Linked DNA regions of Coturnix japonica. The protein of the gene in region 7 purifies or fractionates together with the protein of the main gene of each other region. This does not show direct contact. Links are inferred from orthologs where the notes say so. Each region holds a gene or a part of one and is shown on either strand. Other genes may lie near its edges.

Region 1 (4,610 bases), on a different chromosome or scaffold from region 7:
TAGCCACTTAAAACTAGCAAGGTTAACCAACATACTTGATGCCTGTCCCTTTCAATCCCTTCATCACTGAAGTATAACAAAATGTTGCTAGCAATGAAGCTTATGTACCTAACCACTCCTTCCTTTTAACTCCACACATGCTTTACACTGCATGCCTTTCTTACTCTGCCATCTCTCCTTTAAGAAGGAAGGACAAGTTTATCTATACCCTTCTGCACCTCTTTGCTTAGAGACAGTTATCTAATCCCAGCCCCGGGTTCCTTCTTGGCTTGGGAAACACGCACTGTTCTCTGTACTGCCAGAACAGCTTATCTCTATGGCCACATTGAAGTTTCTCTCCATGATTATCTGAGTTGTCATAACTGTCAATGTTATAAAACCCGGGAACACAACTGAACTGCATGAGGAGCACATTTAAAAGGAAACAGCTTTTTTTTTCCCCCTCCCAAATGAAATGTGTTTGTTTTCTTTCCACTTACAGTTAAGAAGAATAAATATTAACAACCATGGCAAAGTCTGAACCAGCCAAAACTTCAAAGCGTTTCCTTAACCTGCCCATCAGAACAGGACAGACCCAGCACTGAGCATTCACTGCTCACCATGCACCAAACCTCAACTGAAGGCAGCAGAGCTCATTTTCACTAAAAATAACCTCCCTGCAGACCATCAAGCAATGCATGTCCAAAAATAACCCCTTCAGGGTAAAGCATCACACCATCAGCTGTGAAAAAACAAGAAAAATGCAAGCCCTGAACCAGTTTAGATGCAGGAGTTCTGGAAACACAGAAATTCAGGATACGATTACAGTGATCTCCTGGTAGCCCTAAAGGACAGCAACGTTCTGGCTGCTACCTGACTTGTAAACAGCTCAGCTCCTCTAGACAGTAAGGAGAGAATCCTATTTCCCACCCAAAGGTTAATAGGATCTGACAACTCTTCAGATTTACAAAGTGCTCCTACTTCCACTAAAGGTATCCAGGAAATACAAACTATCCCTTTTCATGCTGCTGTTCACTACATCAGGAAGGACCTTTCTGACCCAGATCTCTTTGTGGAGGCAGAAGAGTTTGCGGATTTCTCCCTCCCTCCCAATAGTAACTCAAAGATAAGGTTTAAGTCACTTGACCTTGTAAGACCTACCGGTAACAGGACACCAGTTACTCTGTCAAAGTATCACTTCATGTGCTGGGGCTTCCTAAAATGTCTGCTGCTTCTCCAAGAGCCCAGAATGATGCAACATCCCTCTAAACTCATGCCTATTTATTACCATAAAAGTTTACCTTGAAACACATGGGGAGACCAGCTGTCTTCCTATTTGTTTGGGAGTTTTTCCTGATACCATAAGCATTTACAACTAGCTACTCTTCCCTTTTAACATCACACCTACACCTACATGATAGGGGTCTTCTCTACTCTAAGAACACAGAAGGCATTCTGAACCGGGAAAGAGGACAGCAACCAGGACGGTACAGTCACCATCAGCTCACATCAAATCAGCTGAGAGCTCAGAGGCTCTGCTGGCTTGCAGGAGCACAGCTCTGTGATGACATTTCTACACACTGTGAAGGCTGTGACCTGAAGGCAAAGTATTTATTACCCTGTGGAAGTCTGCTATCTGCTCTCTGTAAAACTCAAAGGCAGGATGGCCAATCACAGGCTACGGGAGAGGTTACTGGCTGGTCAAGTCTGGGCTGTTATGAACTGATTTTGAATCCTGTCTGTTCTGGAGATGTCTATATATAGAGACTGCTAAATCACAGCAAAGAGCAGTAAATGTGCACCAGGCAACAAGTAAAGGCTCTCAGAACAAGGGCAGAAAATACTGACCTACTTTTCTTCCAGAAAAAAAAAAAAAACACATTCACAAAGACCTTTTCTGTCCCATCTTTCATGCTTCCAACTGCTTTAGCACTGGAGCATCTACTGAATCAGGTGCCAAATGGAACTACTAGAAACAATCTGGCCAGAGTAAAGCAGCACGGACCCTGCACAGGAGGCAGCACAGTGCATTGCACAATGAGCTGCTCAAGAACAGCACTGCAGATTGTCATACAGCAGCCATCAGCCCTCCCAGGTGTGAAGGGAAGCAGGTGAGCAGCCAGAGGGTGAGGGCAGAAAGCAGCCAACTGGGGCTCATTAGCCAGCTGTGCCAGGTACACAGAACAGCTGGCACCTCCAGTGCTTTGGGGGGGCACCCCCGAGCAGGTGGAGATCCTGATAAACTGTGTTTGAATGTCTGAGAGCCGTGAGGCTGTTTGAGAGGCACAGACACAGCGGGTGAACGCCAAGAAGGGAGGACACGGCTCGGAGCCCCCCGGCTGCTCCACGTACCGTCCGCCGGCTGCTGGAAGTTGACGTAGGCGTATCCGAGGGAGCGGCGTGTGATCATATCGCGGCACACGCGGATGGAGAGGATGGGCCCGGCGGGGCTGAACTTCTCGTACAGCATGGCCTCGGTCACGTCGGGGTGCAGGTCGCCCACGTACAGCGAGGCCATGGGGTAACTGCCGCCCGCCGCGTTCATGCCCGGACCGCTCGGCGTGGATGGGGCGTCTGCGGGGAGAGAGAGAGAGAGAAGAACCTCCGTCAGGGCGGACCGAGCCCCGCTCACAGCCCGGCCCGGCTCACAGCGCGGAGCTCCGGGCCCCGCACGGGCCGTTTTCAGGCTGTTTGGCCATAGAGCCACAACCCGCGGCCTCCGACACCCACAACCCGCCCCAACCCGGAGCTTCAAACCGCCCCGTCCCCGCGAGGCTCAGCCCCACAACCGGCCCCGACGGGCCGCAGCCCCACGCGGCAGCCGGGATCGGACCGGACCGTGCCGCAGCCGCCCTGCCCCGCTCCGTGCCCCGCTCCGTGCCCCGCTCCGTGCCCCGCTCCGTGCCCCGCTCCCCGCCCCGTCCCGGTGCCCGGCCCCACTCACGCGCTGCGGCCCGGCGGGCACAGAAGGGGCGGCTCACACCGCGCTGCCCTTTATATCCGGCCCGGTCCGTGCGGGGCCGCGTGCGGCGGGACGGAGGGAGCGGCCCCTGCGGCGCCACATCCGCTACAGCGCCGCCCTGCGGCTGGGAGGACCGAGACCGGGGCGTCCGGATCGGGGCTGCTCCGCTGCGGGAGGGACCGGCAGAGGGCGGCGGAACCGCACCGAGACACGGCGGGACGGAACGGACGGGAAACCGGCACCGTGAGGGGCTGAGCATCGCTGAGTGCCGCCCACAGCCCCGTCCGCACCGCAGCAGGCACAGCCCTGCGTCCCCTCGGGCTGCTCATGGTGTTTGTAGCCCGAAGAACGAGGATGCTCGGGGGACTTTGGGGATTTCCCCTACAGGGCAGATCAAACGTTGCCGGGATGTGTTACCGGAGATGTTTGATCTTAGAAAAACCCTGGGAAAAGAAGCTCCATCCCTCACCCTCCACTGCGACCGAAACGCTGCTGCGGGGGGAAAACCCCGCGGGGCTGGAGCGCTGCCCTCCCACCGCCTGATCCCGGCACGCAGGAAGCGGTTCCCGCAGTCCCCGCTTTGCTTTTACCCCCGCGGGGCTGTGGGTGAACAGCCGCCCCAAAACGAGCCATGCGGGGCTGGACCCCCCCGCCACCTCCCACCGCGTCTGGGCTGCCGGGCACCGGGGCTGGCTGCGCTCAATGGCCCCATTATCGCTCCCTCTGACTCCAGACGGATGCTGCCTTCCTCCTCGCAGCTGCAGTTGCTCCCTTCCAGCAATTCCCAACACGGCACTTAAGGCGAGGATTTATGGGCGGTTTGGAAAGGCGTTTTGGAGCGAGAACGAGTTATGGGAAAGGAAGTTGAATTTTCACCGTTCCCCGGGAAATTCTCGCAGCCTCTTTCACGGCCGGGATCGCTGAGGATCCTCCCCGCTGAACAGGGGCTGCTCTCAGCTCTTCCCACAGCCCGGAGCCGAGAGGTGACTCTGGTTCTGCTCACAGAGGGTCAGCAGACACAGGGCAGCCCCGCAGTCTGGCTGGACTGGTCTCAGCGCGTCCCAAGGCATTTCTGTGGATGCTGGGAGCTAAATGAAACGAGCTGTGCTCAAGCCATGGATTATTGCCAACCTCAGGGTGAGAGCCATGAGATCCCTGCTGATCTCAGCTCATGCAGTGGTTTGCAAAGTAAGAAGTCACGGGAGCAGCCACCACAAGCAGCGTTCCTGCTGGGGATGTTCCCTTACACTACACCTCAACAAAGCTCATGTGCTGCAACGCCAGCAGTCATCCCAGCATCCAGACTGGCAGAACAGCTGCACACCAACACTGCATCTCACACCAACAGGGGCTGGAAAGACTTTATTTACCACCTTTGCTGGATGTCACAGCTGTGACTCTAACAGAGGGAGGCTGGGCTGTTTGCTGCCGCTCTGGCACACTGAGCAGCACAGGACAGCCGGGGCCACGGCCTCCTCTGGCTTTACAGCGAAGGAAAGTGTTCCTGGCTGCTTCTGGCACTGGGGACCGGGGGTGAGGAGGAGCAGCAGAGGCATTTCTGTACACTAAGTGCAGCGGCATTCACCAGAACAACCAGGAAGACTCTCTCTCCAAGCAGCAGGGCTGCACACATCACGTGCTCTGCAGGAACGCAGCCCAGCATCTGTGG
Region 2 (4,108 bases), on a different chromosome or scaffold from region 7:
TCTCTGTCAAATAGACTGGATGCCATTACGTACTTCAAGCTGAATCACAAGATGAGTTAGAACTGTGAATATTTTAAGACCGCCAACTTAAAGCTAGCTTTTTCTCATTAACTACAGTATAGCAATTGGATTTCATAAGGACAAGACTGGAGCATCTTTCTAGCCTGAATGTAAACACTCCCATGCCAACCTACTATGTTTCATCAAAATGGTGCTGGACTTTTTTCCCTCCCATTTTCCTCCCTCCCAGTTGACTCTTTTTCTCATTGAGTAGCATGAAGTTTGAGTTTCAAGCTTAACTTTTGAAGGGTAAAGCACTTTGGGTGAAGGAGGGGAGAAAAATAAAAGAGGAAACACACATGATGGAGATTCTTCAAACCGAGTGCAGACATTCGTTGTCTTGGAGCTTTCTGTTAACAGCTCTTCATCTTCTTCCTGTTCTGTTCTACGATGGCGATAGCTGAAAGTGCAGAAAAGAAGATTTGTTCAGAACGATTCCAAAATTTAATTGGTCTGCAATACACGTGAGCACCTAAAGAAGCTTCTTGCAAGAGAACTCTTAAGGTAAGCTGATGAATTGAAATAATTTAGTTCTTTAGATCAAGAGCTTCTTAATGATAGGATGCCTCACATTGTGAACAAGGTCATGTGTTAGGGCAAAGTGACTAGAAAGGGCTAAAACACAAAAGACACTGCACACCAGTACTGGTCTGGAACTACAAGGCAAGAAATGACACCTGTGATTCAAGGTTCTGCAACATATGCCAGAAGCTGCAGGAGTAGTGCAGACATACACGCTGCCATGAAGGCAATCCACTTTTGTGGATGTGATTTCCAAGGTGCCTCTAGGACACACAGTGTTACCTGTGAACTCTTACAAATTACAGCCAAGACTGCTTTACTCTTCTGCCCCAGCTTTCCTTGGTACTGGAATACTTTAAATTGCGATAGTACTTTGCCATCACAGATTCCTTGTAACTCCTAGAATTCTTTGACAATTTACAAGTGGGTAGTTGGGGGGAAAAAAACACCACAATTGTACAGTGTAAAACACCTCCAAACAGGACAAAGGCTGACAGTGTTAACTTACGCTTCTAAAGCACAATAAAATCCTTAATTACAGTACAAGCTGGTCTACATGTCATCACTCACTCGCCAACTGACAGCAAGTTCTGCTTTTCATCCTTCTTTATTCGCGGACGTCCTGGTTTCATTTTCAAAGGTGAAGTAGGAGTTTTCTGAGCAGCAGGCTGAATGAAGTGAGCAAACAGCTCAGTCTGCTTCAACAGATACTCAAATCTGTTTGCTCTGTCTGTTTGCTGTTGATAAGGGAAATTAAGCAGAAGTGTGAGACGTTACAATATGCATTCATTTAAAAGACAACAAATGCTTTTTGAACAATACAGATTCCTGTATCTTCAAATACATAGCTATGATAACAAAAAAGAGATGATTAATTTCAGCAATGTAGCTGTTGCTGACAGATTCTTTCACTAAGTCAAGGCCAGCTGCTGCTACATGTTAGGATCAAAGCTGTCAAACGAACCTGCATTAAGACTGAAATCTGACTGGCACTAAGAGCATGTGAGTGTCACCAAGCAAAGCAGTAGAGCCCCTTTAACAACCTCCTCCCAGCAAAAATTATGGTCCTATTCCAAGAGATGTACACCCATCCAACACGCACAGGATTCTTCATCAAACTCATTCGCCTCACCCACCTGGCAACAACCATTCTCTTTTCTACCACATTAGCATCCTGGCTGCTTAGTGAGATAATGACCACCGTGTAGTGTCAGATAAGTATTACAATTGGCATGAAAAAGGGCTGGGGATAGCAGAAAAGCCCATGGCTAAAGCCAGTAAACCAATTTCAGCAACGAAGAGCTGTTACATATGCTCAGCCTAAGATGACTGAGTACACCCTTTGCTCACCATCTTTGCTGAACAAATAAAGATGACAGGAGACAATACCTAAAAGGTTTAGGTCCTTTGAGACAGGTTCTTTTTAGAATTAACGTCTCTTCCAAGTATCCTGAGTTTGCAGGAACTCGAGAATAGGCAATTGAGACAGAAGACAGCTCCAAGCTTAAAAGCAACCACTCAGACCTTCTGCCAGCTGCCACAACATAACCTGGTATTTAGCAACATACAGTTATAGGAAGTCACATTTCTTGGTAAAAAGGAACATGCTCCAGACTTTGGCAAGAACAGTGCCAGCCCTCTGTATATTCAACTCTTGAAACAGATCCTGTGCTACATGAAAGACAGAAAGATGGGATGAGAGGAGATGAGACAATAAAATCCTTTCTGTGCTACAGAGGAGTTAGAGACACTCTAACCACAGTTATAGCTTGACTGACACAGCTCAATTCCACAGCCAATGAACGGTTTCTGTTTATTCCTCAAAGATCATTTCTGTTTATTACTGTTTCTAAACTAGCTGGGATCTTATTGTCTTATTTGCCTTATTGCCAACCCTTATTTGTTTCACTGGGAGCACAAAAGATAAGAAATACAAACTGCATTCGAGAAGCTTCCTTGTTCTAACATGTTAGCAAGGAAATAGCCATAATTTTTGGCAGAGCACAAATACACCACAACCATTTTCAAGGTGCTTCAGGTAACAAGATAACAAACGTTGTCTGTGTCTTTAAGGCAGGACACAGACAGTAGGTTGCACTACACAATCTTGAGCTATTCTTCTACCAACAGAGATAGAAACTTCTCCTGTTTTCTTTTGCAGTGCATCTTCTGACTGTTTTTACAGTAAAATACGATCTTCCTTAACAGTGTGCCTATTTAGAGCCTGGATGAGACAAACCCAAGTTTGCCTTCTTCTAGGAAGTAGCACAAACAATTCAGCAGAAGACTGGGTTATTTTCAGTGCTAAGAAGAAACACAGGAAGTAGCAGATTACAAGAATCAGTTTCGCTTTGCTATAAAGAAATTCCACATGTAGTCACAGGCATTAGGGATCTCTGGGATTAGGAGCAGGAAAACAGGAAGGAACAGAGAAAGAAAATGTGATACAACGGTAAGGAGTGGAAGGTTGCATCTCCTACAGTTGGGATATCGTGAAAGGAAACAAAGGATGTTTCCTCCTATCTAATCTGAGACATGGAACTACCTGTTTTCAAGTTTAAGGAATCTAAACTGAAGCTTCATAAGGAACAAATTGGGTTTCTGAAAAGCTAATAAAATCCCTTTCAGTCTAAACAATGTGAAAGGGCTGAAGAGCTGGAGAAGGCTTACAGTCAGCACCACTCACACTTCACAGCAAACCTCTTCTCAGCCTCCTGTGTATTTTCAAAGCTGGCTTTTATTTACTTTGCTCATATACTGCACTGCTTGAAAGAAACTCCCTACTCTGAAGTGCCCCCACCAGAGTACATTTCAACTGAGAATGAACACAGTGACTCCTCAAAGCCTTATGCCCTCCCTCCCTTTTTTAAAACTGATTTTCCTCTCCTCACATTAAAATTAATGTACTTTTCCTACAGAGGACTCTACTCCTGCAGTTCAAAAACAAAACTGGAATTATTTTCCTGTGCTAAACAGTGACACGTGAAAGATCCTAGCCTTCAAATGATGCCATATACTGAAGAAACTGAAGTAGCAGCCATCTAGGAACCAACAGATCCTTCTGACTGAGACATTGAATGCTAAACTCTTTGCCCTCCTCCTTGTCTACAACTCTCTACTCAACATCAAAAGCAATGTGACCAATTCCTTTTCATTACGCTTTTTAAGTTTAAGACACTGGAATAATTCTCATTACACGATTCTTGTAAGCCTTCTTGTACGCACTTCAAAGCTTCTCCGACAATGTTTCCAAGAACACCAAAACACGTTCATAGTTATTCCCACAGAACACCACAGGGAAACACCAAACAAAATGCTGTGGGGTTTTCTTGTGTGTGTATGTATGTGTGGGGAGGGGGGCAGAGAGGAAGGGGTTGTTTGTTTTAAATTACTGAGATATTTCTGAATGACCCAACAAAGGTTTACAAAGCCAGATTTCAAAAGAGCAGAACACTAAGTCCATTCTGACAAGTGCTTAAGACAGGACAGCTGTATGGATTTCTCAGTGTTACATACCATTTTCTCT
Region 3 (4,604 bases), on a different chromosome or scaffold from region 7:
ACATTCTATCAAGATCCACGTAATCAGACCACAAAGAGTCAGTTCAAGTAGACACCCCAGCACCTGTGTCACCTGTCCTACGGGTACATGTGGACGCACCTCTGAGGACCTGCAGCCTTCACTCTGAACAATGGGATGCTCACTACCAGTTACCATCAGACACTCTGAAAACCACAGACTGGCTCTCTTAGAAAGCACTGTTTGACAGAAATGACAAGTAAGCAACTCAAGATGCTGAAGGAGACTGCCTTCAGGTAACCAAAGAACAAAAATTAAGCAGCTTTCACGTGGACACAAGCATTGAGAGAGAAAGGAAAGTCTGGAGACTGTATGTCACTCTGCGTGGGATCAAATGGCTCTAACCCAGGGCCTGAAGTCAGAGCAGAGCACATGGAACGAGGAGGGACATCTGTCAGGCTGCACAAGGCCACGACAGGCCGTGGGGACGTGTGTCTGAACACAGAGAGGAAGCTGGTTTTAGTCAAGTTTCCAGATATTAGAATCCCCGTATCTAAGATGTCTGATGCACACACTGTACTGCTTTCTCCTCGGCACGCTTCCTGCTCCTCCATATTTCCAGCAAATGGGTAAGTGTCCCCACACGATGATCATTCTGATGTGCAGGCTTGGATTTCCTATTCATACTCCTTCAGAAAGTGAAGTACTGTGACAAAGTGAGGACCTACAACATGTCCTTTAAATGCAGAGAGGGGACAGATGTTGTCAGTGCTCACTCAAAGTCAAAACATGCCCTGAGATGCACAACCAGAAGCCGAGGCCTGATCAATATTGAAGCTCCCCAATTAATTGAAGTAGGTAAATCATTTTCAATGCTTCCACCACAAAATTGGTTGCGACTGTTTGGTAGGGCTTTTTGTTTATTTGTAAGGCTGCAGAAACCCCCACACCTCCAGCTGAAAGAATCCAAACAGTCCCGGTCTTGAAAAAGGCCAAAATTAGTTGGGAACAAACGCACCCTCAGATCCATCAAAGAAATCATTTATACCGAAGGGAAAGTCACATAACCAAAATAAACAGCAAGCCCATTGTGCAGAGAAGACCTGCCACTGTTCTGACAACAGAGACTCTATTCCAGGCTGCATAAAACATCACAAGCAAAATAAACCCAAGGTACAAACAAAATGCCATCGCCTCTTCTTTTGTCTCGGGCACAAAGCAGCAGGGCAGGCAGGCCAGGGATCCGCTCCTGCAAGGCCGACTCTCCTCAAGGTCACAGCCAATTTCGGTGGGGGGCCGAGGAGGTGGCGAGCAGCAGGGCTGCTTTGGGTCCGAGCTGGCAGAAAAGCCGAGTGTAAAAGTTTATGAGCTCATCAGGATTGTTGTACCATTACATCAGAGGCAATTATAAATGGCCAAGAGCAGGAGATGGGGAGCCAATCAGATCACAGATAGGATGTCAACCTAAGACCAACTGTCTCCTGGCTTTGACAGAAGGATTTTACCTCCATAATTCAAATCCCAAACCAAAGCAATCTGCACTCACTGCTCCTATCGCCGAGCCGCTTACTAGCACTCCCGGCCACGGGCTCGGGCCGCCGGGCCTCCCGCGGGGGAAGATGGCCCCTCCGGGCCGGGCCGAGACGCGGCCACCCGGGCGGGCCCTGGGCGACCCCGGGCAGGGAGCGAAGCCCCCGGGGCGCGGAGCGGGGCAGCGGCGAGTAGGGGCAGCGGCACTGCCGGGGGGGGACACCCCGCGCTGGACCAGGCGGGCCGCCCGCCGCCCGATCCCCGCCGCACCGCCTCCGCCGACCCCTTCGCGCCGGGCCCGGCCGCTCCCCGCCGGGGACGACCGCCGTTTCGCCCCCCCTTATCCCGGCGGAACGGAGGCCGCTCTCCGGGAGCCTCGCACAAAGGCTGGGGAAGGAGGAAGGAAAGGCAGAGAGGCAGCCATTTTAGAGCGAGAGCAGGCACAGACAATGGCAGCTCCCCAGCAGCGCCGACCCGGCGGGGAGAAGCCACGGGAGAGGGGCCGTCCCGTCCTCCCCCCCCCCGCCCCACACCACCACCCTCCTCAGGGCACCTCTCTCCCCCGCCGCCCCCATCCCCAGCCCGACGGCCGCGGCCTTCCGCCCCGTGTCCCCCCCCCCCGGCGCGCCGTCCGCCTCACGCGGCCTCGCGGTTACCTGCTGGCTCCGGCCGAGGCTCTGTCCCCCGCCGCTGCTCCCGGGGCTCATGGGCGCGTGGTGACTCCTCGGCGGGGCCCCGCCGGGCGCTGCGGCCCAGCCCTGGCCGTTGCCCCCGCCGTACTGCGAGACCATGTCCGCGGCGCCCGGGCCCTTGCCGGCGGCTCCCCCGTCCTGCGGCCCGCCGCTATAGTCGCCCCCGGGGTAGCCCTGATAGCCGCGGGCGGAGCTGGGGGAGGTGAGGAGCTGGTTGAGGGTGGGGGTGGCCGTGGGCTGAGGGGTGGCGCCCCCTCCTCCTGCTCCGCCGGCGGCCGAGGGCCCCATGACCCCGAAGCGCTGCTGCTGGAAGGCGGCGGCGGGGGACTTGGCGCCGGCGGCCGCCTGAGCGGAGCTCTGCGCGCTGCCCCGAGGGGAGCTCAGGGCGTAGGCCTGGGGGGGAGGCGGGTAGGAGCCGGCGCTGCGCCCGGCGCCGGCCGCGTAGTAGTTGTTGTACTGGTGGTTGGGGAAGCCGTGCTCGGCGCCGCCGTGCGAGTTCTGGGGAGGGGGCGGCCCCGCGGGGGCTCCCGCCGGCCCCGGGTAAGACTGCTCCAGGCCCCCGCTCTGCAGCGCTGCCATGCCAGGGCTTTGTTGTCCGCCATGTTGGTGGAAGGTAGCGGCGGCGGCCGCAGCGGCGGCGGCGGCGGCAGCAGCCTGGGCGCCCCGGCCGTAGGGCTGCCCGAAGCCGTAGGCTGGCGGGGGCAAGGCGGCCGGGTGGGAAGGGGGAGGCTGCTGCGGCGGCTGCTGCTGCTGCGGCGCCCCCACCCCGTCGCTGCTGCCGCCGCCGCCGCCACCGGGCGGCTCCGGGAGGTTATTGTTCAGGGTGGCGGCGGCGGGCCTGGGGCCCGGGTTCCCGTTCGAGCTCTTCAGGTCGGACTCGGCCCCTGCGCCCCCTCCGTTGCTCTCGGCCCCGTCCTGCAGCTCTTTCCCCGGGGGGCCCTCGCTCTCCGCCTGCTTCTCGCCGCCGCCGCCGCCTCGCTCCGCCGCCGCCGCCTCGCCCCCCGCCTCCTCCAGGGGACAATCCCGCTGCTGCGCCTCCGCTTTCTTCAGTTCGGCCGGAGCCGGGGCGCCCAGGCTGCTGGCGGCGGCGGCGGCGGCGGGGGCGACCTGAGCAGCCATGATCCCCCCCCCCCCCGGACCGGTTCCCCCCCGAGCTGCTCCCTGCCTGGCCGACCGGCGTGAGGCCTCACTGCTCTGCTGCTCCCCGCTCAGGCGGCGGCGGGCTCTTCAGGGCAGCGGGGGCTCATTCCCCCCCAGCCTGGTTGGCGAGGCGGGGAGGGCTCCGCTGGGCTGGGCTTCCCGGGGCCTGGCCCCGCTGTACCTCCTCGGTTGCAGCCGGCAGAGAAAGGGGAGGAGGAGGAGAGAGTGGGGGGAAGGAGGAGGAGGAGGGGGGGACCCGGGACGGGGCTCCCGGTGCGGGAGAGGCGGGAGGGAGGGAAGGGGGAGGGGGGTGGGGGGAACACGGCGAGCGGGCGGGCGGGCGCCGTCCCCGGAGCCGGGCCGAGCGGCGGTGGGGCCGGGCTGGGTGAGCCGCGCGGCAGCTCCCGACTCTGGTCCGCCGAGTGGGGCTCACTCCGACACGAGGCTCAGCACTGCCATTTTACCCAGCGCCGCGGCCGCCTGCCAAACCCGGAGCGGAGCGCGGCGCGGCCCGGACGGGAGCCTCCCCCCCTTCACAAAGGAGGAGCGGGCCGGCCCCGGCCGCTCGCGGCTCGGCGCGGCGGAGGCTGCCGCACGCAAAACCCGCAGCGGATCCGCGGAGCCGAGCCCGGCACCGAGAGCGGGGCGGTGCGGCGGAACCGGGGCCGGCGTGCGGGCGGTGCCGGGGCAGCGGGCGGCGGCACGACCCTGGCAGTACCGCCCGGCTCGGGGCGGGGGGTCAGGAGCCGTGACCTCGCTCGGAGCGGCCTTCCTTGCCTTCCTCACCTTCCCGGGGCACCTCCGGAGGCGGCGGGGGCGCAGGAGCCGCAGCCCAGTTTTGGGGGAAAGCGGAGCGGGCTCATGGCTGCGTTGCTCGGTGGCGGCTCTGGAGGTTCAGCGAGGAGATGGGCCGCGGGTCAACGAAACGCCTCTCCCCGGTCCCTAACCATCCCATTTAGAATTAGCCTTCACTAAGTGCTGCGGGTTGTCATTTCCTCTCTGCTGGTCGTGTCCCTCTGGAAAGAGATTTGGCAGCATGCCAAGGCAATAGCTGCACACACGGACGTCCAAGAAAGTCGGGTTCCCACTCCTGTCAAAGCGATGGCAGCGGGTGGCCGGAAACTGCCTCGGGGTGGTTGAATGTGTAGAACCACAACCACCTGAATGTGTCCAGACACAACGTGTTGAGCAATGGGCCAGAACGCTCCACTCCGCAGTCTCCAGGACCATGAGGTGCTGGAGCTCCCCAACTGTCAAAAGGTGAACTGAGAATTAGGCCATGCT
Region 4 (3,029 bases), on a different chromosome or scaffold from region 7:
TTGAGTTCCTGGTGGTGTTAGCACCCATGCTGGCTGTCCAGGCTCATTTCTCCCTGTGTGTCCCATAACTGTGGCAGCAGTGACATGCAGCCCTCAATGCAGCCCTGTCTTTCCCACCAGCTCCCAGCCATCCCCAGGGACCTCGGTGCCATGTTGTCACCAGCAAGATGTACAGCATCAACTCCCGTGTGTGATGGGCAGCACCTCCTGCACCCAGCCAAGGACGGTCCCACCTCATTAAAGCACCATCACCTACATGGGACAGCTCAGCAATGTGTCACGCAGTAAGAGAAGATGCTGAAGCCTTGAGGAATGGAATCGTTTGAGTTGAAAGGGGCACTTTGAGGTCATCTTTTCCAACACCCCAACTTAGCAATGAACAGTGCTAAGCTCCTGTTGTACCCTACAGCTGTGGGAGCAGCAAAGCAGCTCTGCTCATTGCCCTGTTGTTGCTTTGAAGTAATTCAGGGCAAAGCCTCATCAGCACAGAGCAACACTGACTCCCCGTGGCTGCAGCAGCGAGCCTCTGCCCCTGTGCTGTGTGTGCTGACTGCAGTCCAACAGCTCCGTGGTTCAAAGAGCGGCTCTTACAGGTGGAAGCTGCTGCTCTACCGGGCAGCCAGAAACGCTGAAAGGCATTTAGAGATAGAGCACAACACAGACGCATCGGCCGCTAATGGCTGGTGCTCCAGCACACCGGAAAGCAATTAGAAGAGCGAGCATTAACATGATAAAAGCAGAGCGCTCATTAGTGGGAAGGAGGGGAAGCCACAGGGCGCTTAGAGCCGTCCATGGGCAGACCCGGCGGTGCATTCATTGCGCTGCTCCTCCTGTTTTGCCTATGGAAGCATCACTTCCATGTGCTGGACTAAGAGCCTTTCACCCGCATAGAGCTGAGGGCACAAACCCAGCAGTACCAACATTCAAATCCACAACTGCTGAGCAACAAATGAACTGCTCGGCTTCCACAGAGGTGGGTTTGAATGAACCAGAGCAGGCCGTGATTAACTTTAAGACCTTTATTAACAGATGCTTGCAGTTTGACTTGAAAAAATCAGGCGTACTTTTCTTACAAATTAAAAATGAGGTTCTTAAAAATCTCAACTTGACCAGATATATGAAACAATTTAAAAACCTTTAAAGGTGTATTGAGAAAAAACAGACTTTTAAAAAACGCGTTTCTTGTTTCCAAAAGGAGACTTCTTTAGGTAAAAATAATAAAAACCCCATGCTGCATAGATAATGCAGATAGTTCTTGTAATCTGGTCAACAGCAAAAAGCAAGCACTTCAGGTCTTCAGTTCCAATTCTTTTTGTTCATTTCTTATTGCTGGAATTTCATTTTCTTTTCTTCTTCATTTCTTTAAGTCTTTTCTTTGATGACTAAACTGAAAGAAAGGAATAAAGGATCTCAGACGTGGCGTCATGTGGATGTGTTCAGCATGTTGAGGCTCACCTACAGTTTAAATTCATGCTCTGTTTTTGCATACGCATCTTATCACACACAGCTCCCCATCAGCCTATACTGCAGTGATAGAAACTGGAAGCCTGCACCAGAAGCCAGAGCAGAGGGATCCAGGAGAAAGGGCACCCATTAACACCCTTCACCAGACCCTCTTAGCACCAATACCTGCCTTTGAAAGCAAAGAACCAGTGCCTACATAAGACAGCATAAGCAAATAGCTCTGCAGTGACAGCGTTTTCAGTAGGGACCCCATGCACCCCTGCAGACAAGCAGTACCACAGCCCTACAGGGCAGCCCATGCAACACCAAGTGTATCCCTTTTCAGGTGAGAAGCTCCTACCAAAATGCTCCTGCAAACTCAACATCTATTTATGAGAAACAGATGTGGAGAGGTGCTAAAGCCAACCAGCACCCAGCCCTCAGGGCAGGGCAACCAAAGCCACAATGCTGGCAAGCCTGAAGAGCTGCTAGCATCCTCACACACCTGTTTCTCCTAGCAGAATGCTTTCAGGTCACCACACCAGCATCAAAATGCTTCTTGTGGGTGAACTATCATAGCAGAGACTGATTGAGGTTTAAAGATTAGCAATATTCTATGCATTTATTCCACCGGGGAAATTTAAAGCCCGGTAGCAGAGCCCACCCAGTTAACCAGCACTCAGTTCTGTTCTGCAGAGCCAGCAAGCAGAGCAGTTCCAACGTGCATTAACACAAGCAGAACTCAAAGGGAAGCATCACAAAGTAAAGAGCCCACTGTCCAGTCACACCCCCCAGAGCACCCAACACGTACCCGGATGATGGTAGAGATGTTAAGCCGGTATTTACTCAGCCCCGCCCTGCTCGGCCTCGGGAGCGGACGTGTTCTCAGCTGGTGGTTCGGCTGTCTTCGTCTCTTTGCCATCTTGTGGTTTAGGGTTCTCTGGGCGTCTGCGTCTGTAGTTGAAGTTACGACGGTACCGACGTTGAGGTGGCTGCTGACCTTGGGTCTCATCCCCTTGGTTCTCTTTATCTTCTTCGTTTCCATCCTCTCTGGGCTGTCTTTGACGAGGAGGACCCCTGAAAGTCAAGCTGGGCTTTAACAATGCAGCATCTGAGCACTGCGATGTCCTGGCTGTGTTGCTAGAGCACAAGGCTAAAGCAAGAGCTGATCTGCGGCATACCTGCGGAATCGTGGTCTGTAACCTCGATACATGTTCTGCCTGACTGGTCTGCCTTGTTCTCCTGCACCTTGGTTGTCAGCACCCTGGAAGACAACGAGACAAGAAATGTTCTTAGCCAGGCAGTCAAACCACACAGAGGGCTGCAAGGCAGACAGCGGCCTCAGTGCACTACACAGAGCTTCCTCTTTGCCCAGTTACTTGTACCAGAAGTTAACACACTGCTTTTCAACAGCTGTACCCAACACCGTGCCAACATCTGCTCAGGCATTTTATCTCACTGCTAAGCCTTACAGAGCACATCTCGAGCATCCGCAGAGCTGCGTTTTATCGCCCTGCTCCACAGGACCCACACCACATGCGTTACCTCCACTATCTCTCCCTGCACGGGAGGGTTGGAATATTGTG
Region 5 (4,564 bases), on a different chromosome or scaffold from region 7:
TCCTCCCATTTCCCTCTTACACACACACACACACACACACAGTGTATCAGTGTCACTCACATTCGTACTTCTTGGTGAGCGGTGGGTACTTGGCCTTCACAGCCTTCTGCTCCTCCGTCAGGTTGTAGTCCCGCTCCTCGCCTGCCATCGCTGCGCTCACTTCCTGCTCACACTGAACATGGCCACTGCCACTGCAGGGTGTTGCTGGGCTGGACAGGAGAGCTGCTTCCAGCTGGGGCTCTCAGCAGCAGCCGATGGGGAGCAGCTGCACACAGGCTGTGCATGAAAACAAGATTAGAAGCACAGAGTTCAGTGCTGTGCTGCTCACACTGCCGGCACACAGCAGTGACACCCAGCACCGCACCGACAGCGAGCACTGACAGTGTGCAATGCACCAACAGTGTGCACTGAGAGCATGCACCAACAGTGTGCACTGACAGTGTGCAATGCACCAACAGTGTGCACCGAGAGCATGCACCAACAGTGTGCCCTTCAGCCTCTGCAGGGAGGAACCCTGATCCTTCCGTGTGAATCACCCTCCAGCAATAAAATACTGCATCTACGAGGACATAATTCTACCAGCTCTACAGTAAGTTACACGGGTAACTTTGGCTTTGGAGCTTCACTGCACAGGGTACACAGCCTGCTGTGTGTCATGGCACATGATGGGGCACAGCACATTGTTATGGGGCACAGCACCTTATGGGGCACAGCACGTTATGGGGCACAGCACGTTGTGATGGGGCACAGCATGTCGTTATGGGGCACAGCACATTATTATGGGGCACAGCACATTATTATGGGGCACAGCACATCGTTATGGAGCACTTCAATCCCACCCAGTGGATCCCACCAGTCGGTTCCACACCGACTCTCCCTCGCAAACACATCAGACCGGCTGCAGCGCCCCATTAACTTCAGGGTAATTATTTCCCGACATCCCACGTGAGTCCACCGTGGCTTTTCCCATAGGAGCAGCTCTCACTGCCGGCCATGGGACGATCCCACACGGGATCTCCGGGTTCTGTTCGCAGATCAGCACCGAGACCTGCGAGCTGGGAAACGCTCCTGGGAGGGAATAAGGCCGAAAGAGCACAGGGCTGAGTGTGAACGGAGCCACAAACCGGGAACGGGGCGGGTCACAGAGACCCATTAAGCGACCGGTAACCGGTAGGACAGAGCTCAGGGGCAGCTCGGGGCCGGCTCACGGTGCCATCCTGCAGACCCCCCCCCCCCCCGCGCAGACCGCACTCACCGGGGCACTGTCCCTTTAAGAGCCGCCCACCCGCTCCGTCCGGAAATGGCTCCGCGGAAATGGCCGCCCTCACACGTGACCGCCGAGCGCGCTCTCCTGCCCCTCGTTCCCGCCCCTTGCCTCTCTCCGATTGGCGGAAGCCTCCCGGCGGCGGGCGGGGATTGGTCAGTGTTGGCGCGCGAAGGGGTGCGCGGCGCGGGAGCGGCAGGGAGCGGGGGCAGGAAACAATAGAGCCGCGTCCGGAGCGGAGCCAGCAGCGCCCGCCTCGCGCAGCGCAGCCTCATCCCGCCGCCCACAATGGCGGACAAGGAAGGTAAGGCCCGGCGGCGCGGCCTGGGCGCTGCGGCCTTCACTCGGCTCCGAGAGGCCTCAGGCCTCACTGCCCGCCCCCCCCGCCTCCATCGGCCGGCGCCGTGCGCAGTGATGGCGGGGGGGCTCCGGCAGGGGGCGCTGGGCCGTGCCCTGGGGCGGGGGGCGTCCCGTGCGGCCTGCGGGGCGCTGGGGGAAACAGCAGGGACCGGCCTGTTACAACGGGTTACAACGGGTCGCTACGTTGACACTGCGAGGGGCTGCGGGCGGGGGGGGCGGCGTGTCCCGCAGCAACGTTGGGTGATAAACAGCTGCGTGTGGTGGGGCCCGTTATTGAGTGAGGGCCCCGTTATTGAGTGCTCCATTATTGAGTGCCCCGTTATTGAGTGCCCACCCATCTCTGTGTGTGTTGTGCCTGTCCTGATAAACGCTAACATCCCGCATTGCTTTCATGAACCCTTCAGCAGCCTTTGATGACGCAGTGGAAGAACGTGTGATCAACGAGGAGTATAAGATATGGAAGAAGAACACACCCTTCTTATATGACTTGGTAATGACCCACGCTCTGGAGTGGCCCAGCCTGACTGCGCAGTGGCTCCCCGATGTGACGAGGTGAGGGTGCGTTCTGGATGTACTCCTTGCAGAAGTAAGGCTCCGTGTGACTCCTTGTCTCGTCTGCAAACCCCAGAGACACCTTTAATGTGGGGAAAGTGCTGCTTATCACCAAGAAAATGCTTCACGTCTTTGATTTTGATGCTTTTCTTCTTCCAGCTTCGTTCTCCTTTTTGAAATGCAAAGCCCTCCTCCCCACAGAGAACTAAATATAGTTTCACTTTAAGCACTCTTTCATCCTAATCTTCCACAACATTCTGCTTCCAAAGAGTGTATATGCATCTCCAACTGTGCGCTGGGGAGGCTGTTAGAGTCTCTTAAAGGAAGGCAGGGGAACTGCTGGAGGTATCTGGGGGTAGGTGCTGTTATGCTCCAAGAATTGTGATTTGAGATCTTGAGTTGGGAGGAGAGATTCTTCTGGAGGAAGAAATACAGTGTCAGAGCAGGAGAGCAATGGTAGTTTCTAAGGATGTTACAGGTGTCGGAAGCTGTTAGCAGTACATACCATATTCAGCTCAATGTTTGTGTAAACTCCATGTGTTTCTCACCTGAGTTTCTTCTCTCACAGGCCTGAGGGCAAGGATTTCAGCATTCACCGGTTGGTCCTGGGGACTCACACTTCAGATGAACAAAATCATCTCGTGATAGCGAGTGTGCAGCTGCCTAATGATGATGCACAGTTTGATGCCTCACACTACGATAGTGAGAAAGGAGGTAAGGGAGCAAAGATGTCAATCAGGTGGGGCTTAAACTCTGTTTTTCCTCCACTTCTTAATGGTTGAATCCATTTTTCTGCATGCTAAAAGTTCTTAACAATCTAATATTAGCTTTTCTTCTTGCCAGAAGCCTGGATTATGCAATCTGTATTGTGATCTTTGGGCTTCTTAGAGTTATTTGTAAGCAAGACAATGCTTACTTATGTTCTTTATTTTTTCTCCCACAGAGTTTGGAGGCTTTGGGTCTGTTAGCGGAAAAATTGAAATTGAAATCAAGATAAACCATGAGGGAGAAGTGAACAGAGCTCGTTACATGCCACAGAACCCATGCATCATTGCTACAAAGACTCCATCCAGCGATGTCCTCGTCTTCGATTACACCAAACATCCTTCTAAACCAGGTGGTTGGAGCTTTGTCACCTTCATGCTTCAGAGCTACAAAAATAACCACAACAGCCTTTTCTTAAGGTTGATGGGGTGCAAAAGAGGCTGAAAAGTTTTGTGGGTTGCATAGCGTGTAACTTTAATCCTTGATGTGCTGATAGTGATTCTAAGCATCGGAGTTCTTACACTGCCTTTTTACAGACCCTTCTGGAGAGTGTAACCCTGATCTGCGTCTTCGTGGACACCAGAAAGAAGGCTACGGGCTGTCGTGGAACCCAAACCTGAGTGGGCATTTGCTTAGTGCTTCTGATGATCACGTGAGTGCTTTTAAGTGTAGCTGGGGTGCGATCTGCACTTTGTGTCCCTTGACAAAGGTCAGGAATGTTTCTGTGTTTGAGGGGATGGAGGTGGGGGAGTGCAGAGAATTCCTGTCTAAAGATACAATTTTTATTCGTTTTGGTTTTCCCTTTTTTTTTTTAAAGACCATTTGCTTGTGGGATATAAGTGCTGTTCCAAAAGAAGGTAAAGTGGTGGATGCAAAGACCATCTTCACAGGGCATACAGCTGTAGTGGAAGATGTCTCCTGGCACCTGCTGCACGAATCTCTTTTTGGATCTGTTGCTGATGATCAGAAGCTCATGATGTAAGCGGGGTGCTTTCTTTAGAGGCTGAACATCTCAGTCCATTTTGCCTTCCCAGCTGCTCCCTGGTCTGCCCGTAAGGTGGGGTGTAAGCCTTCATTCCAGGTCTGTTCCTTCTGCTTACAGATGGGATACGCGGTCAAACAACACCTCCAAACCCAGCCATTCCGTGGATGCTCACACAGCTGAAGTCAACTGCCTTTCTTTCAATCCCTACAGTGAGTTTATCCTGGCTACAGGATCAGCTGATAAGGTAAATGTTTGTATTGAATTTGGAGTAGGAGTTGGTGTGTCATGTTGGTTACTTGAGGGGAAAAAACTATTTTCTTTCTTTGACAGACTGTCGCGTTATGGGACTTGAGGAACCTAAAGCTGAAGTTGCACTCCTTCGAGTCACATAAAGATGAAATATTTCAGGTATAACAAATTGTCTGCGTCTTCCCTGCACCTAAGCTTAGTTCTACTTAGCTGGTAAAGTGGAAGGCAGTCTGTTTCACTGTGTTTGTGAAGTGTACTTGTGCTTAAAAACCTCATTCCTGTCTCTCATCTGCTTATAATTTTCTGGTTTATTGTTGTGGAGCTTTCTGTGTGGGGGAGAATTCCAGCGCAGATAAGAGTGTCCAGAAAGCTGGGGCCGAAGGTAACAA
Region 6 (4,108 bases), on a different chromosome or scaffold from region 7:
ATAGAAGAACCCATCACACATCACCGGCAGTGACTAGACTGCAGATGACTGGAAAACTGCCTTTTTGTTTTGTCTTCTCTCAAAGAGAGATGCTGTTCTGAGCCTCTCTCGTATGCAAGTGATAATCTTCTTAAAGCTTGTTGAAATACAATCTCTCTGGAAGTATCTGGCTCAAGTTTAGTTGAAGTAAGCCAAAATACAACCTCAGGTTTTTAGAAACCACACACAGAACATCAGAAGTCATTTTTGGCAAGATAATTCCCATACACTTTCAGTAACTTCAGCCCATTGCAGGTAAAGTACCACTGAACTACTTGCTTTGTGTCTCCACTTCAAAAATCTCGTGAAAATTAACATATTAAACCCTTAATCGATATAGTAGATAGAGTAATTCAGCTGTTACCTATAATGTCTGGATATGCTAGATGAGGTAGTTTCTTTTATACTGGCAGCACCTGTGGATTCCACATCTGAGGTATTGGATGAATGTGCAGTTCCATCGGATTTCCTGATGTAAGATAACAGGGTTGCCATGTAATGAAAGTAATCTTAGAGTAAAAATTGAGTTGACATTTCAGAAGTAAACAAATAAATGACATGCTATGTTAAAATAGCTTAAGCTTTTTTAGTGTGTTTTTAATTTACCCAACAGAGCAGGGTAATTCCAAGGCTGGGGTCTCTATCACTGGAACCGGTTCAGCATCCTATGAAAAAAGGAAGAGTGCTTCAGTTTAAGTTTTAATTGCTTATTCAGCTTTGTTTGAGGGCAAATGGGGAGAGGAATATCATGATTTAGATTAACTGATTATATTTTTCTTCAAAAATGATAATCCAGTTAGAGAAAATAAAAGAAACATATCCAAAACCTTACCAGAGGAGACGACTCTGGAGTTTTGTGAATCATTTTTCTCGTATAGGGACCAGGTGGACGACCTACTGATTTTTTTTTCCCCTTTCTTTCTATACCATTACTTAATTCCCTAGAAGAAAATTTATATTTTTTTCTGTATTATTGAAGATAATTTTCAAAGAATAAATGCTTTCCTTTGGCAATGAATACACATTGTGCTAAATGAGATCCTGGCAAATCAAAACTCTCATATAAAAGCTAAATAATTTGCCTTTAAAATAACACACATAACATTCTTTCTAGTGACATTACCGGTTCCCTAATCTTGAAGAGGAATGAACAAGTGTTGGTTAAAGAAACATCAAATCTACTACCACAAGCTAGAACTGCATATCATATTTCCTATTTAGAAACCTAGTTAGTAGCATTGCATAAAAGCTCCGGAAAGGACTTTTTTTTTCCCCCCAGTGGCAGCAAAGTTAGGACAGCTTGTATTGTTCTCACTGCCAAATGTCACAATGGTTGTTTGGGTTTGTGTTTTGTTTTTCAAAAGGCTCATAATAGAAAACTAATAAGCTTGCATACTCTGCTCTCATAGTCACCTTTAAGGAGAACATGCAGCTACATCAGTTTACAAGTTTAAAGTACTTTTAAAGCACACAAACAGCCCAATTTAACAGTTATTTAGAAGTGTACATTAAACAACAAACAGGACTTCTTTCACAGGCACCAAAGTACTTACAGCAGTTCCTATTTATCACAACATTTCTAAAAAATCATGGGATTATTTTACCTCACATCAGGGATTGGTTTAGATGATTTTCTGCCTTTAATTTTGAATTCATGAGAAGTTCCTTCTGGTTCTTTCTCAGCCTTTAGAGCAGCATTTGGTGGCACAGGAGGAACACGAATTCTCAAGCCAAACAAATGCTTCTTTTTCTTTATTTCTTTTCCAGACATAAACCTAGGTGATTTTAAATTCATTGTTAACATTCCGAATCCAGGGAAAGCAGCTTTTAAAATAAAGTATTCATGCAAAACAAATTAAGCAAATTAAAATACTCATCCTAATGCTATTTTATTCACCTTTTCCCACTAACACAATCCTCAATCTGAAATACAGAATGAGAACTGGGAAGAGGATGGAAATTAAAACAATTTTTTTCTCATGATCTGTGATCCACTCAAATGGGTGTTATACTCTGAAACAGAAACAGTATTCAAAATGTCAACGTTAACACAGCCACAGTGATTATCAGAGAAACTGAGCAAAGGAAACTGACAGCTACAAATAACAAAGCTGCGAGCATTTAAGAAAAAAATACCAGCGACTTACATGGTCTTGTAATCATTTAATGCCTCCAGTACATGCTCATATCTTTCAGATTTTGGTGTATCTGCCAGCTGTGGAGAATTAAGAAATTACTTATCCAATTTAATTCTTTAGTAATAGAAAGCTTCCAGTAACTCCGAGTCATCAAATCTACCAATTTAGATGTGAAGTACATTTAAAAAAAAATTACCTGTAGAAACTACCTAACCCTAAAATTAGTTATTTAAACTCCATCTGTTACGTGATTCACATTCACAGAAATGACAAACCCAGGTCAAAGAACCTAAATTTTCTGTTTAAGTAGTACAAGAAATAATTTCAAATTGTTTTAGTACACAAGAAGAATAGCAGCCTGCCTTCCCAAGATCACTAACATGAGCACCTCAGTATCTTTCTTATACAAGAAAGAAGCTCACACTTCAACAGCCACATGCCAATGTCACTCCAACAAAAATTTCTTAAATGCAGAGCCAAAAGACTACCTATATCATTCCTCTTGGGGAAAAAGATTTTCTATAAATTTTCCTGATAACAGCCCAAATAGCTGAAAAAAGTTGAAATCCTTAAGACCAGTAGACAAACTGCTCACACTCATGCTTGGAACAGGGAGGAAAGAGGAACCATTTGTGTGCAGTGATTTGTTATGTATTACACCTTAGAGACCTTAATGTTTTCATACTAAATATACTCTGTATTCAATTATATGCATAGGTTTACTGGTCCACACCCATGAAAATATTCAAGGAACTATGAAACAATTAAAAAAGAAGAAATAATAAAACTGCCATGCAAACAATAAAATGAAATTTTATAGCTCAGAAAAATATACGCAACTTAAAAAACTTAATTCTTCAAGGAAATTGAAGATAACCTCTTTATCACTTGGAGTGAACAGATGTTAAGGTAATAAAGAATTTAACATCCTACATAAAACAGTTCATAGGTCTCCAACACATGCACGGTGAAAGGTGGGGAAGAAAGAACATTCCAACTGCTTACCTCACCAGGATGTAATCTATCCCAGTTTTCATTTATGTATGCCATGAGTTCAAGCTCCGAATCAAAGTATTTCTTCTTATGAATAACACTTAGGTTGTAAAGGCATAGATGTGCTATATCTACCCTAGAATTCAGAAATACACAAAATCACCAAAAAAAATCTGAATTGCTTTTCTTTGACATAATTTTTTAAAAAAGATTAGCATAACATAGTTAGAAAAATAAAGCACAACATAAAACAATCAGGAAACATTATGCTACCTCCTATCATTTCTCTATCTAACATGGCTGCTGCTTCATATCATACATGCATTTCTGCCTCATCTCCCATTCTCATTACGTTCTTTTAAAATCCAAAACAATTCTGAATTCATATAAGAATTCCACTGAACTAAAGTTTAGCAAGGTAATTTGTCAGCACATATATCTATTAAATTGGTATTATTTTTAATACAAGCTGCAGTTGATGTACTTCAAGCTACAACATGAAATTTCATCAAGTAAACTACCATAAGGCATGTCAAGCTGTTTACTTTTAACACATTTCACTTAATTTAACATCAAGACAGCACCTGAATAAAGGAATTCTGCTTAGGACTCTCAATCTTAAATAGACAACAAGCAAGTACTTAAGTGCAACTTCACTGAACAAATCTAGAAACAAATCCCAAGAGAACTCGAGTGCAAATACACATGCATTTATGAATAAACCTTGAAAGAAAAACAGCCCATTTCTACAAGAACCCAGGAAATGACAAAAGACAGCAACTCTTGTTGTCAACAAGGTAACTCAGTAGCAAGAAAAGCAGCACGTATAATCAATTATTTATTTATTTTAATTGCACTTACCATCTTAAGGGTAAACGTTTGAGGTATTCTGGTCCAGAACTGCAAACTGAGCAAATGAACGTATAAAACCTAAAAAA
Region 7 (4,108 bases):
AGAAAGTTGCTCATTTTCTATAGTAATATTATTTCCTTCAATCAACATCTTACAGACTGAACCCATCTTTTCAGTATATTTAAGGTTGATTATTTTTTGTCACTGTAGTAGAGATACACTAGCTATAGCCTCTTGTAAATTTTAAATTAAGTTGACTTCTATATAATTGCAGCATGAATTCTGGATCATCACATTCTTGGGAAACCAAGGAAATTTACTTTCCTTTTTCAGTAATTAATACTAGTAGTTTTGTATTTCAGGTCTAAAAAGTAAAACACTATCATCCTTAGTAATTGCATTCCTTCTTACCTGTCTGCATGTTTTGGTCCCAATTAGTCTGGCGATTGCACAGAAGTTATCATAGTAGGTGCCAATAAGAACTCTAAACATCGAGGCTTCTGCACCACTCCATTCCACATTCTCTGGAGGCTCAATATTTGGCTTCATCTTTATTGGTGTTTGACACCTAGAATTTGCTTCTGCAATAAGCAATCATTGAAAGTATGAATCGATGTAAGGTTATATTTCAGGAAGTTTCTATAGCCTTTAAAAACACCATATTAACCTAATCAGTTATAGTTAAAATAGTGCAGAGTTCTCTTGGTTTTATTTATTTAAGCACTACAACAAAACAGTAACTTTCATTTGGAGAAGTCCCGAACTAGGTAACATTGGCTACTAAAGTTACAGATCTCAAATCTAAAACAAAGTTGAAACAATCTGGACATTTTGTTAAAGAGATCTACAAATGTTTCAAATACATGGTTTCTAAAATTGCATTGCACAAAGTGGATTCATGCTCTCAAGCACTGCAACCAAGTAGAAGCCTTGACTAGCCTTACCAGAGGAACTGGAAGTTTCATCTTTCTTTTCTTCTTCCTCTTTATCATTGTTTTCTCCTCCAGTTTCCATTCCAGCTTCTCTGTCACTGTCTGTGTCTTTTGATTCCAGCACATTTATTGTTGGTGTGCTAGGTCTGCTGGTGTTATTTGGAAGTCTTCCCCTTCGGCGACCACCTGGGCGCTTCGGTGGTGTCTTTATACGCTCAGCAGTCAGGGCAGCTGCAAACTCCTTTGCACCTTCCTAAAAACAAAACACTGATTTTCATTACAAGTTTAGAAGCAATTTCACCCGTGGCCTGAGGTGGGGGATACCTACATACTATTCTAGAAATTTAATCATGAACACAAATTCCAGTTAATTTACCCATAACATTGATGGTCTCTCCATGTTCAAGTTTACTATTACGAACATTAATGCTTCTGATGTTATCATGAGTAAATCTACATCTACCAATTATTTATTTCAGTTCCACTTTCACTGCCAAGTGAAAAAATAATTCATTCAGTAGTAAGTTTTCATCTTCCTAGATGACATAAGTAGTCTGAATGTTCCACAGAGTCCCTCCATAACACAAGAACTCTTTACATGGCACCTAAACAATAAACATTCTGCATTATTCAGAAGACCATCAGTATTGTAATTTGTTTTCTACTGGAAAGGAATATGATAACAGATTGGAAGTTTTTTAGATTAGAAGATCAGACATGTCGTTTCACTTAAGGGAAGTATGAGGGGTTTTTCTTTGTTTTTTGTTTTTTAGTTTTTTTCTTTGTTTTTTGTTTTTGTTTTTTTTAAAGTGTTTCCCCTTACTGGTTCAAACCAAAAAAAGATTCTGGCAATAACCCTTCTTCAGCGAACTGTCCAGTTTTTAGTTGATAGGCCACTTTTGAGAAAGTCAAGTCTCTAAAACCCAGTTCTTTGACTAGACTGGACACAATGGCAGAAACATTATTAATAAGTACTGATCTTACCTTCTTACAAGCACATCAGGCTACATCTAACAGAGTCAAAAGTTATTCCTACTCAAACATTCATTTAGTGATTAATGCTTTTCTCACAAAAACTGAAGATGACACATTTGACTGCAAGCAGCTTACAGGTACAAGCATGTTTACATACATAACACACCCGAACACTAAGTGCAGCTTGATGTACTTACAAGTAATTCTACTTTAGTAAATTCTTACAGTTAGTTTTTAATTATCTTACCAGATGCTGGTAACAGTGCGGTCCACAGGGCTTATTATCTAATGCTGTTTCTGTATTCTTTCTTTTGTAAGTATTTGGAGTTGCATGGAATGCTGTTGAATCAAGAAAATAACACTTGCAAATCTTAAAAGTAAAAAAATGCATTAGATATCTAACTTCAAACAGTAATAAGAACACAAGATTTACCAAGGCTTTACCAAGAACAGCATAAGAATGAGAAAAATAGAAAAACGTCAAGATACATGCCACCTACTGACATTTGACTTACAAAGAAAGTAGATGACTACATCTGCCTATGCCCATTAACATCAGTGAACATCAAATTTGATTCTCATCCCAAGGGAGGACTTGCTATATTTCCCTTTTGATAAACAGAACAAACTTGATTACCATTACCAAGTTAAGCAGAACTATTCCAAGCATCTCCTTTGAATGATCATCTCTCAAACTGTAAGAATCCCATGTTCAATTTTTAACTTGTTTACATAAAAAATAACAACTCCATGCACTTTAACAAAGCAAATAACACATTTTTCATGTTAGTTACTGAAAAGGACTTATGATCATTTTTACTGTATTAGTTCGCAGCACCAAAACTAAGTTCTCTCCCAGCTGCAGACATACCTGCTCATGTACACTGATGGAAACTGTAAAGCACTCAAGTTGCAAAACAGTGACTTAGAATGATGCCGATCTGGGTACATTACAATTGCAACGTTAGTACTTCTACAGAGTGACTAAGCTCCACAGACATGCCAGAGCTTGTCTCTACCACATCTTCTGTCACATGATATTTGCCTCTCAACAGAATGTTTTCACTGGAAGCATTAGGAACTCCCTAGAATCCCCCACTAAACTAAAATGTGGGAAATCTGCTGCTAAAGCCACACAGGAACAATAGCGCAATCAAGTCCCCAAATTATATTAAGAGATTTCAAAAATAATATCCTTAGTTTTCTGTAATTCTATATATATTTTTAAGTCCTCCAATAAATACTTCTCCCCCAGAAACGCAGTAACAGTAGCACATACAACTACAAGGAAATAAAAAAAAAAAAAAGTGGTCAGCATACTGAAGCTTAATAAAAAAAACCAAAAAACAATAAAACACAAGACTCAGCACTAGCTGTCAGTTCTGCTACACTCCATGAAGGCTTAAGAGCCTCCTCTCAGAAAACATTTTAATCCCATGCACTTATGTTGCAGTTTTTAACACACTTACAGTTAAACAACTGTAAGTTATAGTTACGTTTTTCAACACTCAGTGAACAGGAAGTACTATTTTTTGAACTGAAAGAACAAATCTCTCCCCTGTTAACCTGTACAAACCCATTAGAGGGTCTCTTCTAACGAACTCACACCTTTCTCCACCACGATAGCTTTTCCTACTTATTTCTAGATTCTACATGAGGTTTCTTGCTATAATAATCCACCATTGTGCCTTCAGGAGCTTTCACAGTACTATTCAAGTAATATCTGCCAGGCAATTGATTTACAACATAGTTCTTCTAGCACTTGATTTGGGACCAACTGGGAAGGTAAGTCAGTGCTAGTGTGTATGTCTTAAGGGAGCTTCTCTGATATCTTAAAACCATCACTACAAGCTTCCCTCCCATAAGGGAAGATGGTGTAGAAACCTCATGACAAATTCCATAATTTTATGCCTCTGTTAATGTCAAGAGCACATAAGGGTCTTGGGGGAACAATGTATTTTTCCAAGGCTGGGCTTAAAGTGTAAAAGGATATAAAATATTTAACTAAATATTGCATTTTTTTCTCTCCAGATAGATCTTATAAATCAAGAAAAACAAAAAGACTTCAATTTACCACATGCTGACATAGATATGTAAAAACTGATTACAAGCAAATATAGGAATGTAATTTACACATGTTGCTGCTGTTAGCATTTCTTCCAGTCTTCCTAAACATTTATTTTAAAACTTTTATGTATTACATCACATGTTTCACATATCCTTGAAGCGTTGATATTTTCTATATGTAGGATAAGTTAAATGAGGAAGAAAGCTTACAATTTATCCCACGTTATCCCACCCTC

Evidence for each region.
Region 1: the proteins of EZH2 (region 7) and PABPC4 purify together in Homo sapiens (affinity purification with mass spectrometry, with the first as the bait; 3 studies listed by BioGRID). This does not show direct contact. The link is inferred for Coturnix japonica from reciprocal best matches to the Homo sapiens genes EZH2 and PABPC4.
Region 2: the proteins of EZH2 (region 7) and SMARCA5 purify together in Homo sapiens (affinity purification with mass spectrometry, with the first as the bait; 3 studies listed by BioGRID). This does not show direct contact. The link is inferred for Coturnix japonica from reciprocal best matches to the Homo sapiens genes EZH2 and SMARCA5.
Region 3: the proteins of EZH2 (region 7) and ARID1A purify together in Homo sapiens (affinity purification with mass spectrometry; 3 studies listed by BioGRID, with this or other methods). This does not show direct contact. The link is inferred for Coturnix japonica from reciprocal best matches to the Homo sapiens genes EZH2 and ARID1A.
Region 4: the proteins of EZH2 (region 7) and YBX1 purify together in Homo sapiens (affinity purification with mass spectrometry, with the first as the bait; 3 studies listed by BioGRID). This does not show direct contact. The link is inferred for Coturnix japonica from reciprocal best matches to the Homo sapiens genes EZH2 and YBX1.
Region 5: the proteins of EZH2 (region 7) and RBBP4 purify together in Homo sapiens (affinity purification with mass spectrometry; 12 studies listed by BioGRID and IntAct, with this or other methods). This does not show direct contact. The link is inferred for Coturnix japonica from reciprocal best matches to the Homo sapiens genes EZH2 and RBBP4.
Region 6: the proteins of EZH2 (region 7) and MTF2 purify together in Homo sapiens (affinity purification with mass spectrometry; 10 studies listed by BioGRID and IntAct, with this or other methods). This does not show direct contact. The link is inferred for Coturnix japonica from reciprocal best matches to the Homo sapiens genes EZH2 and MTF2.

What each region holds. Positions count from the first base shown.
Region 1 is NC_029538.1:4,814,501-4,819,110, forward strand, and holds the start of PABPC4 (polyadenylate-binding protein 4), read right to left. Parts: upstream 3,025-4,610; 5' UTR 2,924-3,024; intron 2,554-2,923; 5' UTR 2,525-2,553; coding exon 2,332-2,524; intron 1-2,331.
Region 2 is NC_029519.1:26,874,328-26,878,435, reverse strand, and holds part of SMARCA5 (SWI/SNF-related matrix-associated actin-dependent regulator of chromatin subfamily A member 5), read right to left. Parts: coding exon 4,099-4,108; intron 1,320-4,098; coding exon 1,153-1,319; intron 461-1,152; coding exon 360-460; intron 1-359. UniProt on the Homo sapiens protein: ATPase that possesses intrinsic ATP-dependent nucleosome-remodeling activity.
Region 3 is NC_029538.1:101,796-106,399, forward strand, and holds the start of ARID1A (AT-rich interactive domain-containing protein 1A), read right to left. Parts: upstream 3,300-4,604; coding exon 2,145-3,299; intron 1-2,144. UniProt on the Homo sapiens protein: Involved in transcriptional activation and repression of select genes by chromatin remodeling (alteration of DNA-nucleosome topology).
Region 4 is NC_029536.1:5,554,266-5,557,294, forward strand, and holds the end of YBX1 (Y-box-binding protein 1), read right to left. Parts: coding exon 2,989-3,029; intron 2,708-2,988; coding exon 2,625-2,707; intron 2,533-2,624; coding exon 2,286-2,532; 3' UTR 2,255-2,285; intron 1,388-2,254; 3' UTR 1,005-1,387; downstream 1-1,004. Other genes in the region: claudin-16-like, read left to right, coding at 121-194. UniProt on the Homo sapiens protein: DNA- and RNA-binding protein involved in various processes, such as translational repression, RNA stabilization, mRNA splicing, DNA repair and transcription regulation.
Region 5 is NC_029538.1:4,587,178-4,591,741, forward strand, and holds the start of RBBP4 (histone-binding protein RBBP4), read left to right. Parts: upstream 1-1,417; 5' UTR 1,418-1,552; coding exon 1,553-1,568; intron 1,569-2,028; coding exon 2,029-2,176; intron 2,177-2,744; coding exon 2,745-2,890; intron 2,891-3,119; coding exon 3,120-3,293; intron 3,294-3,477; coding exon 3,478-3,593; intron 3,594-3,758; coding exon 3,759-3,919; intron 3,920-4,043; coding exon 4,044-4,170; intron 4,171-4,256; coding exon 4,257-4,334; intron 4,335-4,564. Other genes in the region: ZBTB8OS (protein archease), read right to left, coding at 61-148. UniProt on the Homo sapiens protein: Core histone-binding subunit that may target chromatin assembly factors, chromatin remodeling factors and histone deacetylases to their histone substrates in a manner that is regulated by nucleosomal DNA.
Region 6 is NC_029523.1:12,126,256-12,130,363, forward strand, and holds part of MTF2 (metal-response element-binding transcription factor 2), read right to left. Parts: intron 4,101-4,108; coding exon 4,032-4,100; intron 3,307-4,031; coding exon 3,183-3,306; intron 2,255-3,182; coding exon 2,187-2,254; intron 1,815-2,186; coding exon 1,644-1,814; intron 981-1,643; coding exon 872-980; intron 705-871; coding exon 646-704; intron 509-645; coding exon 404-508; intron 1-403. UniProt on the Homo sapiens protein: Polycomb group (PcG) protein that specifically binds histone H3 trimethylated at 'Lys-36' (H3K36me3) and recruits the PRC2 complex, thus enhancing PRC2 H3K27me3 methylation activity.
Region 7 is NC_029517.1:75,422,499-75,426,606, forward strand, and holds part of EZH2 (histone-lysine N-methyltransferase EZH2), read right to left. Parts: intron 2,145-4,108; coding exon 2,053-2,144; intron 1,084-2,052; coding exon 843-1,083; intron 480-842; coding exon 310-479; intron 1-309. UniProt on the Homo sapiens protein: Polycomb group (PcG) protein. Catalytic subunit of the PRC2/EED-EZH2 complex, which methylates 'Lys-9' (H3K9me) and 'Lys-27' (H3K27me) of histone H3, leading to transcriptional repression of the affected target gene.